Linked DNA regions of Drosophila melanogaster. The protein of the gene in region 2 purifies or fractionates together with the protein of the main gene of each other region. This does not show direct contact. Each region holds a gene or a part of one and is shown on either strand. Other genes may lie near its edges.

Region 1 (7,418 bases), on a different chromosome or scaffold from region 2:
AACCGGCTGCTAGTGATCTCAGCGATCAGTTTGGTAAGACAAATCTGCGGATGCGGTTCTCTAAAAATGTTAATTCTGTGGCTCGTGGGAGCTTTTATTGTTCTAATTCAGTGGATCTATAGGCTGAACAGGGACTACTGCATTCTCGGATTCTTTGCCAAGAGGATTCGAACCAAGAATGGACAGAATCCGGAGAGCATTGCTCCATTAGTGAAGGGCAGTACCATATTTGCCAACAGCTTCGATTTGTACGGCAAAGATCACTGTAAGTTATTTGGGGGGAGCTTTGCTGGCTTATCTATGCTAATGACATCATATCATGGCTGTTATTCTTATTATACAATCAGCTGGTGTTTTTGAACACTCGCGTGACTGTGCAAAAAAACTGGGCAAAAGCTACGCGGAATATGCAATGGGAACGGCCATCTACAATGTTATAGACGCAGATAGTGCGGAACGTGTGCTTAATGATCCAAATCTAATAAACAAGGGAACAATTTACGATTTTCTTCATCCATTTCTGAGAACTGGACTGTTGACATCCACGGGTGAGTTTGGATTAGCACATGCTTCATTTGTTTTACAACGCTATCACGCTTTTTAGGAAAAAAATGGCATGCACGACGCAAGATGCTTTCCCCAACATTCCATTTCAATATCTTAAATCAGTTTCAGGAAATTTTTATGTGAGTTTGGATTTCTAACGTAGTAACTATTCAAAAAAAAAAAAAATGAACTTTACTAGAACGGAGAGTCTGAAGTTCCTAGAGCAATTCAAAGGCAATGATGAGGCAATCATCTCGTTAAACGAAGTCATTCCCAGATTTACCCTGAATAGCATTTGTGGTGAGATGCAATACGTTTTAAAAGTTTTGTTAATTATAAAACCACAAACATATCTGCAGAGACGGCCATGGGTGTGAAGCTGGACGAGATGGCCGAGAAGGGGGATCGGTACCGGGAGAACTTCCGTCAGATCGAAGAATGCTTCATTCGTCGCATGAGCAACCCACTTCTATGGAGCGATACACTATTCAAGATGTTTGCCGAAAAGGATTACGCGTCTGCACTCGATGTGGTCCACGGATTTTCCAGCGAGATTATTGCCAAGAGGAGAGATCAGCTGAATGATGAGATAGATAGCAGAGGAAACACTCAGACCGCTGAAGATGAATTGTAAGGCATTTGACAGTCGTCCATAAGTCCATAACAATACCGATTACTTTAGATTTACCAGTAAAAAGCGCTTTGCCATGCTGGACACCCTTATTCTTGCCGAAAAGGATGGCCTCATCGATCACATTGGAATTTGTGAGGAGGTGGACACTTTGATGTTTGAGGGCTACGATACTACCTCAATTGGGCTCATGTTTGGACTAATGAACATGTCTTTATATCCCGAGGAGCAAGAAAAATGCTACCAAGAGATCCAAGCTAACATAGATGGTGAAATGAGCTGAAATTAGTAAACTTACGATTTCATAAGCATATAAAATCTTTCAGATGAGCTTAACATCTTGAACATCGGGCAGTTGAACAAATTGAAGAATCTGGAATACTTTATCAAGGAAACCATGCGCCTGTTTCCTTCTGTTCCCGCCATGGGTAGGGAAACTACGCGGGAAACTGAGCTGAGCAACGGTCTCATCTTGCCAAAGGGCTCCCAGATTTTTGTCCATGTCTTCGACATCCATCGCAATCCCGAGTACTGGGATTCTCCCGAAGAGTTTCGCCCGGAGAGATTTCTGCCCGAAAACTCGCAGAATCGTCACACCTACGCATATATTCCATTCAGTGCTGGTCAGAGGAATTGCATAGGTATGTAATATTGCTTACTCTCATGGAATGATTGGATAAACATATCATTTTCTTTGTAGGTCAAAAATTTGCCATGCAGGAGATGAAAACCCTAATGGTGGCCCTACTGAAGCAGTTCCAAATTCTACCAGAAATCGATCCGAAAACTATTGTTTTTCAAACTGGACTAACACTGCGGACCAAGAACCAGATTCACGTGAAGCTCGTGAGAAGAAAATGAGGCAGCTTTAACGGAATGGAATTGTTCACGGAACTCTGTTAGTCATAAAGTGCACAGTGAACAATAGTTTCATCCAAAGACTCCTTTCTTCTTTCTCTTGGTGCAAAAATGTCCTGTGACTAGCTTATGGCCGATAATCGTTGGCATCTCGACAGCTGCCGCCCTATAAATCATTCATGCCCTGGCGGGTAGAAGCACTTCTCTTCTTCTTTTCCAGCAGCTATTACAATTCCAACTCCCATTTCCCACACAGTGGGAGCTCCCTGTCATTTCCTACCCCTCCTATTATTTTTGAGGCAGCCCAGGAAAAGTCAAGTAATCTCTGTCCTTTAGCTCACATATATGGGAATGCAAATGCATAATGCGCTGGCGACTTTTTGTCATTTGGTTTTCCTCCTCCTGCCGAGGCTACATCCCTTTCCCAACGACTCCTTTTTGCTTTAACTGCGATTTTGACAGTTCGTTACTCAGTTATACCATTTGCATGCATAATGCAGACTCAGCTTTGTTCTAAGCACATAAAATGTGGCAAAAAGACATGGGTGACCATGGGCTCGCAAAATGCACTGTGTGTGGTGCACTGAAATAAGTTCCATCTATCTTTGGCTTCCTATTTATTTTATGAAATATTTATATCATGTTTCGAAGGGATATTTTTAGTTAGCTTCTCTTTTATATGTGGCTTACTACTACTCTACTATTGAAAATAATTATCGTAAACGCATATTTTTTAGTGTGCGCCCAACTCGTTCCAACATCATCATCCATCCTGGGGACCCAGGATTTATGGGACAGCACATGGAAATGGGTGAAAGGCAGCTCTGGTTTTAGCTGCTACTCGGCTACTGCATATTTCATTAGTGCTCTGTGCGCTAGTGCTTCGTCGCCATAAGTCAACATTAAATGGATTCCATTTGTGAGTCATGTAAATTAAATTTCCCTCGCTTTCACATGTGTCAAGCGAACGTTTGGATCTCAGAAAATCTAAGAATCGGCACCCCTCTCACCTGACTGACTGCCAAACTGCGCACCAAAAGGCGAAATAAGAAGTCGCAATATCCGCCACAAAAGAAAAAAAAAGAAGATAAGTGCGACGCACTTTTGCCTGACTGAAGGACGAAACCCCAAAAGCTCAGCAGCTCAACAGCTGGTCCTGTCGATTTGCCAGGGGAAATTAGAAGGCAACCGACTGGAGGGATGGCGATGGCGATGGCGATGCCGATGGAGGCAGAGTGAATTAATTACTTTATGCGCATCTGCGTGTCGCTGTCGGGCACTTTACACTTCCCCTGTATCCTTTTTCCCACTTCCCTTGTCCCTTGTACCCCACATCCACCCATTCCCCCGTCCAAAGTCTTCCTTCCCTTTCGCAAAACTCACACATGACGCTATTAATTTCTATTACCAGCCTCGGACGGCCTGCCTGCCATACTTCATTACGGACTTTCGTGCAATTGCCGCTTGCCCGAGCTACCTTTCAGCTCCCCTTCCCCTAGTGCACTGAGAGAAATTATTGGTGACTGCCAGCGGAATTAAGTTTCGTTGAGATTTAGGAGCAAAGGTCTAACAATCAAAAGTATGCATTAAGTTTGCGCCTTATTAATGATTTCACATGTTCAAAATGTTCAGTAATCATAATTTATAATGTATAAATATACATATGTAATTGAAAATATATTTGATCAAAAATAACTAAATTTATCATTAAATTCTTACCTAATAAATTATCATAATACGCTCGAAATAAAGGTTAAATAATTATTTTACAAGGTGTGAAATACATAATGATTTTAAATATTTATGTGAATGCTATACGAAAATTTATTTCGATTTGTCATACATGACAATCATGTTTTTCTTTATTCTTACTGAAAAATAATGTTTGTGATTGCGTTTGAAAACTAACTTTAAAGACTTCATGATGTCTTGCTTTGAATGATTCATAATAAAAGCCATTATCCTTGCACCTTATAAGCATGTCTTTTATAATTTAATATGAAAAGCAACCTAAAAATTTGTTGCCAAATATTTTCCGCAGTGCCCCGTTTTCGCGATGCCCTTGCTTGTTTGTTGACTCTGATTGGGATTAAGGTTGCCCATGGGCTCTCGGCTCGCTTTGATTGCCTTTGTGCCGCAGATGCCGTGAAATATTTCATTTGCTGCCAGTTATTTGCTCTTGCGCTCTGTAGCTTCCCCTCCCGGTTACGAATTCATTTCTACTCCGGATTTATATCCTTTTTGTTCGAGCGTGTGTGATAATCGCTGGGAGCTGGAAGCTGTGAACTGTCCGATTTCCATGGATGCGTGGAAGGCCATTTAATAAAGTGACCGAGTTCGAGGCGGCCCGTCATAATTTATTTACGCTTTTCGTCCGTCCAGTGAGTGAAGGTCAAACGGAGGAGCCCACGTGTGTGCGGGGCAATTAGGACTCACCTGGCTCGGATGTGGTGCTGGTCTCGACGGGCTCCGTGTTGGCATTGCTTTTGTCCAGGACCAGCAGCAAAACGGTCAAGGATATTAGGGCCCAAAGCGGCTTATGGCGCATTCGCTGCCTGCTCCACATGTCCAAGGATCAGATTGCGATTGCCAGAGTTTCGGCGTTGTTTTGTTTTCGTTTGTTAAGCAACCCGATGAGTCCTTTCAAATAGCAACGAATTTAACACCACTGCACTTCACGAGTTGACTTCTTAATGGGCCAAAAATAGAAATCCACTTGGCCAACTCACACACACACACTGGCGTACCGCCAGCAGTAACCCACACTCGCGCCAAACTGTATGCAACGTGTGCGCGTGTATGTGTATGTGTGTGTGCTCTTTGGCTTTAAAGTTTCACTTTTACTTAGAGTCCTTTGCGGGGTTTTATCCTTTTCGAAGCTGGGCACCTATCCTCTCGAGCGACGACAATCGAATGCCACGAGTGCGGCGAGCGTCTCGCTTTTATACCTCTCGTTGGATTCTGCGCAGCTTCGGCTCTGCTTCGTTCGGCTGCAATCGGCTGCATTCGGCACTCGACGAAGGATCGCACTCGACGAAGCTCGCCAAAGGATGTGTCACGTGCATTTTGCCGGCAAATCGTGTGTTTTTGTTTTGGTTTGGCCCATGTTTTGCTTAGTCGCTGTTGCCATTGCCGTTGCTGTTGCTGTTTTTCGTCATCTCCGATTTTCCTCTCTCGCTGCTTTCGCTTTTCGCTGTGCCCGTGTGTCTGCGTGCGTGCCCTTGTAACTCTCACGTAGCTCTCCTTTTTCCCACTCCCCCCCGAACCAACCAAGGAACACCGCCCACCCACGTGGCCAATTCCCAGCTACAAATGAAGTTTTCCGCTTGCTTGCCACGTTGATTCGGTTACTTTCCAGTTTAAAACTAATTTAATTATACTTCCTTAGTTCAGGCAGATACTTTTTACTGGTGCAGCAGTGAATCAATCGCATAAAATCAATTACTATTTCCTAATTCACTAGGGGAAATCGTTGCTGAAAATGTTATTGGCTTAAAACTGCGATTTATATAGCCCGAAAACATGAGCACATAAGGTACAATAACTAGACGACTATAATTATTTAATTGAAATATTGTATGTAGGAGATAAATATGAGAATTACATTTTTGGATACATTGGCAATAACTGCTAAAGTTTAAATTTTATGATTTTTACTTGGCGGTAAGCTTAGCAACTAAATGCAATTTTTTTGTAGCTAATTATATGTTTATAAATTCAAAAGTGTGCTTCCGTGTTTACTACAAATTCAAAGTGGGTACATTCTATTGTGGCTAAGGAGTGCAGTGGAGCCAAGTGCTCGGCAAGGGACTCACCTTTGCTGCTCCTCAGCTGCCGCTGCCCTGAGAAGTATGCTATCAATTGTGCTGACGTCGCCTGTCTGCTGGCCATTCCTTTTGGTCCTGGCCAATAATCAAGCAGCAGTTGCGGTGATTTTGAGGCCTCTGCTCTGCGACCGAAGCCAAATGGCATTTGGCATTTGGCAACCAGGTTGCGGATGCCACTTGGCCACTAATTACGCAAATGAATGCTCCGACAGGACGCCCCTTGTTGTCCTCGCAAGATAAATGTCACTCATTGGAGGTTCAGGTTAGTCCTGGTCCTAAAGCGTAACCGTAACAATACCGTCTGGGTCGCTCTTGTCTGTCGCATTGAAATTTTGCTGAAATGCGAAATACCAAATGCGAATGCGAATGCGAAACGCGCTCAACTCCAGTCGAGTGGAAAATGAATGTTTGTGTGCTGCATTCTCCCCCTCAGCTGGCAATCCAATTGTGCAGCGGCATTATCTTTTGTGTATAGTTTCTGGCATGCCGTCCTAGTGGCCCGAAACTTTGGAATGCAATCAGGCTGAAAATTTATACGTTTAGCATGTTTATCCTGCCTCCTGGCAACGAGCGGCTTTACAGCAAAATTCAATTTGCTGCCCTGCAACCGCAGGCTGAAATTACATCTCTGGTATTCCAACTCAATTCGATGCCGACGGGCCGAAGGCTAATAACCAATGATTTCCTGGGTGCCAATGAAGTGCGTGCACCTGACATGGTCGCAGCTTTTCTAGATTAAAATGCCTGCATTTAGCAGATTAAATTATTTAATCAAGACAATTACTTACTGGCTGTGCGATGGGCAGATGCAACAAATACATGGCTTACCGAATCCTCATTTCGGTAGAATGAATAATACAATATGCATAGTAAGTCACGCAAAAGGAATATTTACTTTGGCCAGCTTGGTTGGCAGCTGATTTAATAACTACACATCCAATTGTTTTAAATGAAATAATCTCCTCTTCGTTTTAATGAAATTATTGCTTTAAATAAATTCCTTGTTGTTTTGAACATATGTCAAAATAATATATTCTTTAAGTTGTAATTCAGGTTTTAGATATTCAAATATACAATAAATATTCTGAGATTTCTTAACATCGATCTCTTCGATAATATGTTATGCTCCTTATTTTGCTCAGTGCACCAAGCGGAAAACAATCGCAAGTAAATCAACTGGTTCTTAATGCCATTTGCCAGATAGCGAGCCCAGGGATAAACAAGGACTCGCACCCGATGGCCAAATTCCAGGATCTTGTCTTGTCATGCAATTATCGAGTTTTAATGAATTTTCGCGCGCAGTCAGAGGCGAAATCCATTAAAGGACTCGCGCAGACAGACACGGATGCGATGGCGGCAAGGAAGTGGAAGCGGAAGTGGCCAACTAATTACGCCAGGACACTTGGCACACAAAAAGCGGGCACCAGCAAATGCTCGAGTTAATTGCATTGCCAATGATGCGGCAAAAGCGTTTTGACGACCAAAGGGCCATTAAGTCATTAAGACGCTCAAAATGTCATTAAAGAGCGAAGCCAACACGACCACAATCTGCGCAA
Region 2 (8,692 bases):
CCTCGCACTCCAGGGTGATGAACTCGTTGGACTGGATCTCCTCGTAGGTGGAGAGCGGGGTCAATGAAGGTTTGTCGCTCAGCTGTTTGGTGTGGGGCTCCACCTTGTAGTACTGACCGTGCTCCACGGCGGGAACCAGGCACGGAGCGGATAGGCACTTGGGCGTCTCCGGCTTCCAAATGCCTCGGATGCATCGCGCCGTGGCGTTTTCACCCTTAATATTCAGCTTGAATCCGGCATTGCACTCCAGATGCAGCATGATGCCTACGGCATTTCTGCCTGGAACCTTGCCAGGACGAACCGTGGTCACGTTGGCGAAGGAATCCCACTCGAGTTCCTCGCAGGGTCCTCGCAATCGTTTGCCTCCACCTCCCTTTCCGGCCTCTCCTCCATCACTGATGTCCACCTCAGCATCCGGAATAGTTGCTCCCGACGGAGGAGGCGACTGTCCAATGCTGGAGCTCCTTCTGCGCCTCCGACGGACAATCTGTGATTTCAGTTGTTCAATATAGGATCGGGTGGCATTCAAGTGCAGGCTACGCGATGCTATAGGCGGGGATCCGTTGGATAGCAGCTCTTCCTTGGGAGTTCTGTTTACATGAACCTGGTGGTTTCGCGATGCCTGGTTAATGTTGGGCAGCGCAACCACTCCAGATCCGACTACTCCACCTGATCCAATGCCACCGCTCCCAAGGTAATTGTTTCCATTCTCGAATTCCCTAAAGTTGGACTTGCCCCGCATGGTGACCTGTCCTCCATCGTGGGTATTCAGATTGTTTCCCACTCTACCCACTGCATCTTGGGAGTGGAGCCTCTGGTAGATCCGGTCACGACCTAGCATTTTGCGGACATAGCGCTGATATCGCTCTTTGATCTTTTGGTAGTACTTGGAGTAGGCCCGGTCGACGTCGGAGGCATAGGGTTGTGAGTTCGGGTGGGGACTGGCGCTTCGCTTAACCCGATGAACCGATGGCTGGACAGGATCGGCTACTAAAAGGGAATATGATATTGTTAATATATTGCTTACAATCGAAAAATATTATTGCTTACTAGCTTTTATATAGTTTTGGTTATCGATCAGTTGCCTTTGAAGTTGTCGCTGTCGCTGCAGAAGGTACATGGATCTCAGTTGGCGGATCTGCAGAGAGCGACGTCTGCGGCGATTCCAACGCAGGCGAGGATGCTGGCCCAGGAGGCACTGTGGCAGGTCCAAGGGCCGCCACTTGCCACCCACACAGGTGGCGCCAGGCGGACCAACCTAGTGGAGAAGCGATGTTGTTGGGAATCAGCAATACTAACAGGATATTGAAGTTACCTCCAGGACATATCCCTTGTCGCAATCGTACATGATCTGCTTGTTGTTCACGATCTTCTTGACATAAGGTCTATAGTCATATAGGCCCATGTTGCCCACAAGCAGGACCTTTCCATTGGGTATGTAGCCGGGAAAGGAGCAGAAGACCTCGTCACATTTGGGCGTCTCTCCGGTCCAGTTGCCAAATGAACAAGTGAGCACATAGTCATGCGGATCTGTCACATCCTTGCCCTCCGGACTGACCAGCTTGAAGCCATCTTTGCACTTGAATCGCGCCTTCATGCCGTGCTCCGTCTTGGGAGCCATTACCATGCCGTGCTTGGGTGGACGCGGCATGCTCTTGCACCTGGCGGGCACACAGCGTGGAATGATGCTCCACGTGCCATTGTTGCACGTGGGCGGACTGAGCAGGGACACCGGGAACTCGTAGTTCTCATCGCACTTGACCTCCAGTGCCGTTCCGTGCTTAACCTTCTCCACACCACCAATGCTCTGCGTTTGAGTGGGCGACTGTGTGGTGGTCGTCGGCGGATGGACGATCGTCGTTCCGTTCTCATCCGTGATTATCTCGATGGGATACACATTGCCCTGCGAAATGGTGGGCACCACACAGGGCGCCAGACACTCGGGCAGTGCGTTCCGCCACCTTCCGTCGATCTGGCACACGCTGGAGCCCAGTCCATTGATCATCATCTCTGGTTGGCAGCGGAAAATAATGCTGGCACCTAGTCCGGTGCCCGCTTCGATGTTCTCGATCCATCCGTTGTACAGCACTCCAGGATGGCCGCAGTTGATCTCTATTGAAGGGAATGCAATGGAATACACAGTAGAACCATCCAGATGGGACTACACCACTTACCCTTGCAGGTGGGCAGAGTGCCGCTCCACTTTCGGTCCGCTCCGCAGCGACTGGAGCTCTCGCCCACAAGGGTGTAGCCGTAGCGGCACTCGTAGCTGACCACCGAGTTGTAGGCCAGGGTGGTGTAGGTGGCCTTGCCGTTCTTGGGGTTCTCCGGGGTGGGACACACCACCGAGGTGACCACTGTGCGGGAGGATGCGGGAGAATGGGGTTAGCAATGGGATTGGGATGGTGGGGGTATGCTAAAAGTTACCACAAATCTTTGAAGGCCGCCAAACCAAATAAAACAACTTCGAGGAAACGGTTTTCGAATTCGATTAATCAATTCTTGTATATATTTTTGCTTGCTCAAGATTTGCGGTAACTTTTATTTATTCATTCAACATTAACTGGCCAACAACAAGAACAACAACAACAAGGTAGTGCATATGTAAATTTGAACAATCTGTTTGTATGTATCGCTAGATCAATAACCAAATCGGAGATAGAGAGAGAATGTGGGTGGCTAGCAGGATCGGAGAACTCCGACTGGAGAACCTGAGCCCTGACCAAAGTGCGCTTAATATATAGTTTCGGATACGGATATGGGGATCTGTGCCATTTGCCAGCTCCAAGGAGTCGGAAACGAAACTCAAAGGGTCGCCTCGCCTAGGATAACGACGCTTGGGTGGTGGTTACATTTGCGCTATCCGCTTTAAAGGTGGTCAAAGAGGTCAAAGAGGTTCGGTTACAAGCTCTACCGGCGCCAGCCCGCAATACTCACAGACACAGGTGGGCAGCTCCTTGGGCGTCCACGATCCGTCCGACTGGCAGTAGCGCTCGTGCTTGCCCACCAGCTCGTATCCGGTTCCGCAGTTGTAGGTGATCTTGCATCCGTACGTGTAGCACTCGCCGGCATGCCATCCGTAGGCCGGATCCGGTGGCTGGCCACAGGATCGAGCTGGAATCATCAAATAGCTATGCATACAGAGGCTCCCCTTTTCAGTGTGACTGCACTCACGTTCGCATTGGATATCCGGGCCGTACCAGCTGGCCAGGTTATCAATAGCCAGGCACTTGGCCCGCGGGAATCCATTGGTCACGTAGCCGGTGTGACAGTGGTACTGAACCGTGGAGTCCAGGTCAAAGGTTTCCTGTTCCGGCAGCGCCGAGTTCCGTGCATGCTCTATCTGCGGCGGCTTCAGGCAGTAAACTGGAAGGATTGCAAGCACGTTTCGATATAATCTGTTTATTAACCTGTGGTAGACTTACTATTCTGCTTGCAAGCTGGCTCGGCTCCGGCCCAATTTCCGTCCGCCTGGCACAGACGACTCTGGAGACCCACAACGTGGTAGCCGTGCGGACAGGCATAGGAGGCGCGAGCTCCGAAGTGGCGTCCAGCCACTGTGACCTGACCCAAGCTGGGCTGGGCTAGTTCCGGGCACTCGCGATCTAAGGAAAGAAAGGGCATCGAGGGATTTGGAATTACTTTGCTTGTATAAAAAGAATTGATGGTTCAACATATCAACTTTCTGATTGAATTACACTTATTTTGTTTTAACTATTGCAATTTAAATCTATACCCACCTGGTTTAATGCAGGAATTGCCACAGACGCCGTCGCACAGGCACTTCTTCTTCTTGCTCTTGCAATCCTCGTCGGAGGAGCACTTCCTCAAGCACTTCTGGCCGAGCAGCGTGGCCTGCTCCTCGTCGCGTGGACACTCGGTGGAGGGTGAGTTGCGAGGATTCTTGTAGACGCGGCCATCGTCGTCAGACTCCAGAGAGTCGTCGTCCTCCTCCCAGTCGTCGTCGTCGTCATCCTGCTGCGGAATCTCCGAGGTCGTCTGGATGCTGGTGCTCATCGTGCTGGTCGGCACCGAAATCACTGCAAGAGAACAAGGAGGACAGCTGTCAGTCATCTGGGCTGGAAAACAAACCCCAATTCCCAGGCGAATCAACCCCTTAGCGCGGCTTCTGTTTTGGTTCCGGGATTCGCGTCTATTTTGCTCCGCCTCGCGTGCGGGCGAAAACATTGACCTATTTCCCCCGATGCCTGGTCCAGATGTCTGATGATGGCTCGGTCCCAGACTCTTTTGGAGCCTGCGCACTGGACGCCAGCTTATATAACGCAGCAGCATATACATTTTTCATCTTGCCCATTTGGAGGACTCCCGAAAATTGCAAATAATTATTCCGGCCACTGGTGAGCTCATCCGGACTACCACTAAAAGGGGCTCAAATATACTGATTGTACTTATCGGGTTTTCAGGTTTTTTGGGTTTTCTTATTGACCTTTGTAGACCAGAATGGTGGTCACTAGACACTGCAGCAGCAGGCGATTCATTTTGATTCCGTTGTAGTTGCGGGGTATCCGTGTCCTTTTTGATTTTTTTCCTTTCGCCGAACTGGCCTCGGATTTATAGCATTTTAGCTAACTTGCAAAATTCCTCTGCTGGCCAATTTAATTGGTAACTTTTTCGACAAGCTCGGTGGCCCGAAACTTCTCACTTCGAGCCAAGGAAACGAAATGCAGCCACGCCAGCTGCTTTCTCCCCTTTTTGGCTCTGGCCTTTTGACAGATCGGGCGAGAAGCGCCCAACTTGACAGCTTTCGGCGGTGGTTGGTCCCTTTAACGGTGAAGATAGGTTTCGGTGAAAATTCGAGCAAATGCGAAAGGTTCTTGCATCCTAGCTCGCTTGTTGGATCCAAACTTGAATATAAAGATATCATTAATTTCGACTGTTAGGAACTTTTTTTTGTTAGACGTCGAGGAATCGATATAAGATGTGTTGATTACAATTTAAGGTTCATTAGCTATCATCATCATATTAATACTTATGATAATGATAGATATAAGTATAAGTATTAATATAATAATGATAGCTAATGAAGTGATTTATATTACATAAACAGAGTTTAAATTAAACAATAATCAAGATTTAATCATAAACATATATTGGCAGTAATAATATGCTTTACACGATATGTTTCCTTAGTTTCTCTAAAATCCACCGTCTTCTTCAACTTTACATTTACAATCCCTTACTTAACATAGCGTCAGTTTTAACATTTTCAACTTGAAGTTGGCTGCGATAAGCACAGGTGATCATTGTTCAGCGCTTACGACTATGTTATATATTTATATGCTTACTTATACTTACTTAAATTTATATGCTTATTCTACTAGAATTTATATTAAATTTCTTATTTTTTTTCATCACTTAAAATCAACAACAAAAGAATATCTTTATTTCTATTCAGTACTTTCTTTAACTATTACTATTAATATATTACTTTAATTTAGTTTATAGTGAATACCAGTCAAATATAGCAACTTATATGTGACCAAGTCTTATGGACAAGGACATTGGTTTTTTGGGAACCATTGGACAGTTCCACTGTGCGGCGAAGCTTTTGCACATATACTTGCACACATACCAGTGTAGCAAGTATGTAAGTGTGTGAGTGCTTTCTCGCAGAGAGAGAAAATAAAGAAAACGTATCGTTATCGTTATCGCAAAACCAACACACATATATTACAAGCATATCTGGTTTTTTGATAACGATTGTCACATAAAGTTATTGCTCCTTAACCAAAATCTATGTATTAAGCTTTTCTTTACCATTATCATAGATATAGATACTATATAGATATGGAATAGACAATTTTCATATATTCGTATTTCAGTTCGTAAAAACCCGATTTCGATCTAGTTTCTCATCATTTTTTATAACTTCAAAGAACTCTAATTTGTCCCATCCACAATGGAAATGTATTTTTCTTTCTAAATGAAAATATTACTGAGAAGGGTATGTTTGGTGGAATCGACACAAATCAAGTTTCGTCATACCTATATATTGCTAAACAGAGGCTTGAGCATAATAAGGCTAATGATATTTTTATATTATAATAACCGATGAAGAAGTCCATTCCCTCAAAAATTCCTCCATACCGCACTCTTAACCTGCGGGCAAGCGACCAAATTGCACACGGAGGACAACTTCCCGAAGATATCTTGCAATGTCGAGGTTCACGCCAATGCCATTGCCAATCTAAAAAAAATCAAACGGTCAATTGCATGACAGGGTAATAGACTAATCTTATACAGACATACGTGATTTGCTGGAATGTCCGCAAGTGGAATCTGTATAAATTTAGATGTAAATGGAAATATATATATATGTATGTGTAAATGGAAATATATATATGTACATGAGAATCCAAATCCCCAACGAAGATGTCGTCGTTGTCCGGTGGCGGGGGTTGGGGTGTGACCAGGACCAGGACACGGCGGCAGTGGCAGTGGAGCTCTAATTGGCGGCGACCACAGGATGTTATGGGTGGCGCTGTCGTCGGTGTCGGTTTTGGTGTTTTGGGCACGGATTTAAAAACGCTGTCCGCCAACTCTTGAACCATCAGCTCATTACGTCTGCGTCAAACTGGTCGGCCTCTATATACAAAAGGCGTAAATTTGTTACAATTGAAATTGAATTGTCGATGTATTAACGTTACGCTTGATTTTTAAAAAATCTATTTGAAACATCGACAGCTATGCCATGTATCTATCGATAAGCAACGTAACGCTCGATTTTTACTTATTTTAGCGCTAATAAGATTCGGAAAAAGCTCCGAGAGCGCGGAGGTCGGAAAAGCGACCGATTTTCCTACGGAATCAGAAGCAGTGAAAATCCGGAGCGCCGAGCACAACGACGACGCACAGCGGCGGGACAAGGAAAAACTAGTCGAGGCGCGCACTCGTATCCGAAAATCCAAAAAAAAAAATATATAGGGGAGCAAGAGTCAGTGGAGCGAGCGGGGAAAGCGGGGGAAACGCACTCGAAAGATACACTTTTCCGACGAAATGTCTTCGCGGCGTGTGTGTAAGAAACATTTTGATTAGGCAATTAATTGAGCAAAGTGCAAGTGCAGTGGGTGGAAATGTTTTAGACTCCGTTCGGTGGGGTGCGGCGGGTTTTCCGGGGGGCGCATGTGAAAAGCGCGTAAAGAAAAGTAAGTGGCGCAAATTTGTGTATTAAAATAAATCAAATAACCAACTAAACGATGCATACACACCGAATCCGCATCGACTGGCCGCCAGTGCAAAATCGTATCTGCGAACTGAGATGCCAGCGAATCTGTGACAAATTAATTGATATTGAACCACTTCGCAGACCGCTGCGACAAAATGTCGAACTAGCCGATTCAAAAAACATATAGATTCTGTGTATATAGGGGAATTTATTTTTAGCGATTTTTTAAGCCCCCTCCCGCCCCGCATCGGAATTCAAATCGGTCGCGAAAGACCAATGCTCTGTGTATGGTGAATCGAACGATCGCAAACATAATCCGTATCGAATAAAGTAGATTCCAAACCAAGAGCATCCATCACCCATCATCCATCCCATCCGTCGATGGCATCGAAAACGGGGGGCTCGCGCGTCAACAATTTTCAAGCGTGTACACAAAAATCCAGCCAAGCGCATTGCCCGCAATAAATCCGAGACGAGACCCAGACCCAGACCCAGCGAACCCACCATATAGACCATCCACCGCCCAGCACCACCCACTTGGGCCAGTTCACTCGACCACTTGATTAACGCCAATGCCAATTCAACGCAGAAATTCTCTACAAAAGTTCTCGCAGAGAGCATGCGTTCGCCTCGCGAAAGCTTTTCTCTTTGCTCTCTGCTCTCAGCCCCTGCCCCTTTCTTTCCACCCCCGACTAGCCCCATCTCGCTTGCACAGGATGTGCTCCGTGTCCCCAGTCACTTTGTTTTTGTCATTGACCTGTTGTGGAAATCTATACGTGTATATACGACAGTTATCAACTAAACTATTCAAGCCCGAGTGCGGAAAATTATAAAGATTAAGTGATCTGCGGAACCACATAGGAAAAATCCTTGCAAGAGAACATCCTTCAAATGAAAACGAATATCCGTTAGTGCTTGTGTGTTTTTAAGAGAGTGAGAAATCCTGCAACAGCTGGGTGTTTTCTTAATTAATATTGTGCAAATATTGCACCCATTAGCAAGTTAATATCCCATATTTGGTTATTATTATATACATACATTATATACTTACTGAAACAGTTAAACAAACAGTTAAACAAATAAAGTTTATGCCACACAAGGATGACAGGATGAATCCTCGAGTGCTTTCTAATCGATATGGGTGTGAGATACCGTGAGCAGCTTTAAAGTTCCCAGATCCTTGGAAAGAACCACTTTTAGCTGGATAAATAAAACGGGTTTCAGTACCAAGAAAATCAAAAAATAGTTCAATGAAACGCATTCTATATCATTCTATATAAGGATATAACAGATGTTTAAATGTCTTTTGTTATATTTAATAACTAAACGGATTTTCATCTACTATCCATTGCAGGACATCAATCAGTCAATTGTAATTTAAAGAGTAGGGACTTGAACGACCGCCATGGGCAACGTGTGCAGTTCCGGCCAGAAGAAAAAGAAGGACAAGGACAGTGCCTCCGAAAAGTCAGACGAGTAGGTTCATCCGTTCGTGCATCGATTCTC

The links. Proteins that work in one complex are often made in the same cells at the same time.
Region 1: the proteins of Hasp (region 2) and hig purify together in Drosophila melanogaster (affinity purification with western blotting; one study listed by BioGRID). This does not show direct contact.

The regions. Positions count from the first base shown.
Region 1 is NT_033778.4:9,242,294-9,249,711, forward strand, and holds the start of hig (hikaru genki), read right to left. Parts: upstream 4,957-7,418; 5' UTR 4,602-4,956; coding exon 4,472-4,601; intron 2,118-4,471; exon of another isoform or gene 2,039-2,117; coding exon of another isoform or gene 1,878-2,038; intron 1,819-1,877; coding exon of another isoform or gene 1,504-1,818; intron 1,447-1,503; coding exon of another isoform or gene 1,229-1,446; intron 1,177-1,228; coding exon of another isoform or gene 906-1,176; intron 847-905; coding exon of another isoform or gene 746-846; intron 687-745; coding exon of another isoform or gene 605-686; intron 549-604; coding exon of another isoform or gene 348-548; intron 266-347; coding exon of another isoform or gene 67-265; exon of another isoform or gene 27-66; intron 1-26. Other genes in the region: Cyp4p3 (cytochrome P450 4p3), read left to right, coding at 67-265, 348-548, 605-686, 746-846, 906-1,176, 1,229-1,446, 1,504-1,818, 1,878-2,038.
Region 2 is NT_033779.5:19,511,994-19,520,685, forward strand, and holds the start of Hasp (Hig-anchoring scaffold protein), read right to left. Parts: upstream 5,212-8,692; 5' UTR 5,135-5,211; intron 4,866-5,134; 5' UTR 4,500-4,865; coding exon 4,448-4,499; intron 4,041-4,447; coding exon 3,741-4,040; intron 3,606-3,740; coding exon 3,426-3,605; intron 3,367-3,425; coding exon 3,175-3,366; intron 3,115-3,174; coding exon 2,938-3,114; intron 2,867-2,937; coding exon of another isoform or gene 2,823-2,866; exon of another isoform or gene 2,517-2,822; intron 2,358-2,516; coding exon 2,175-2,357; intron 2,113-2,174; coding exon 1,316-2,112; intron 1,259-1,315; coding exon 1,051-1,258; intron 991-1,050; coding exon 1-990. Other genes in the region: CG10132 (uncharacterized protein), read left to right, coding at 8,592-8,662.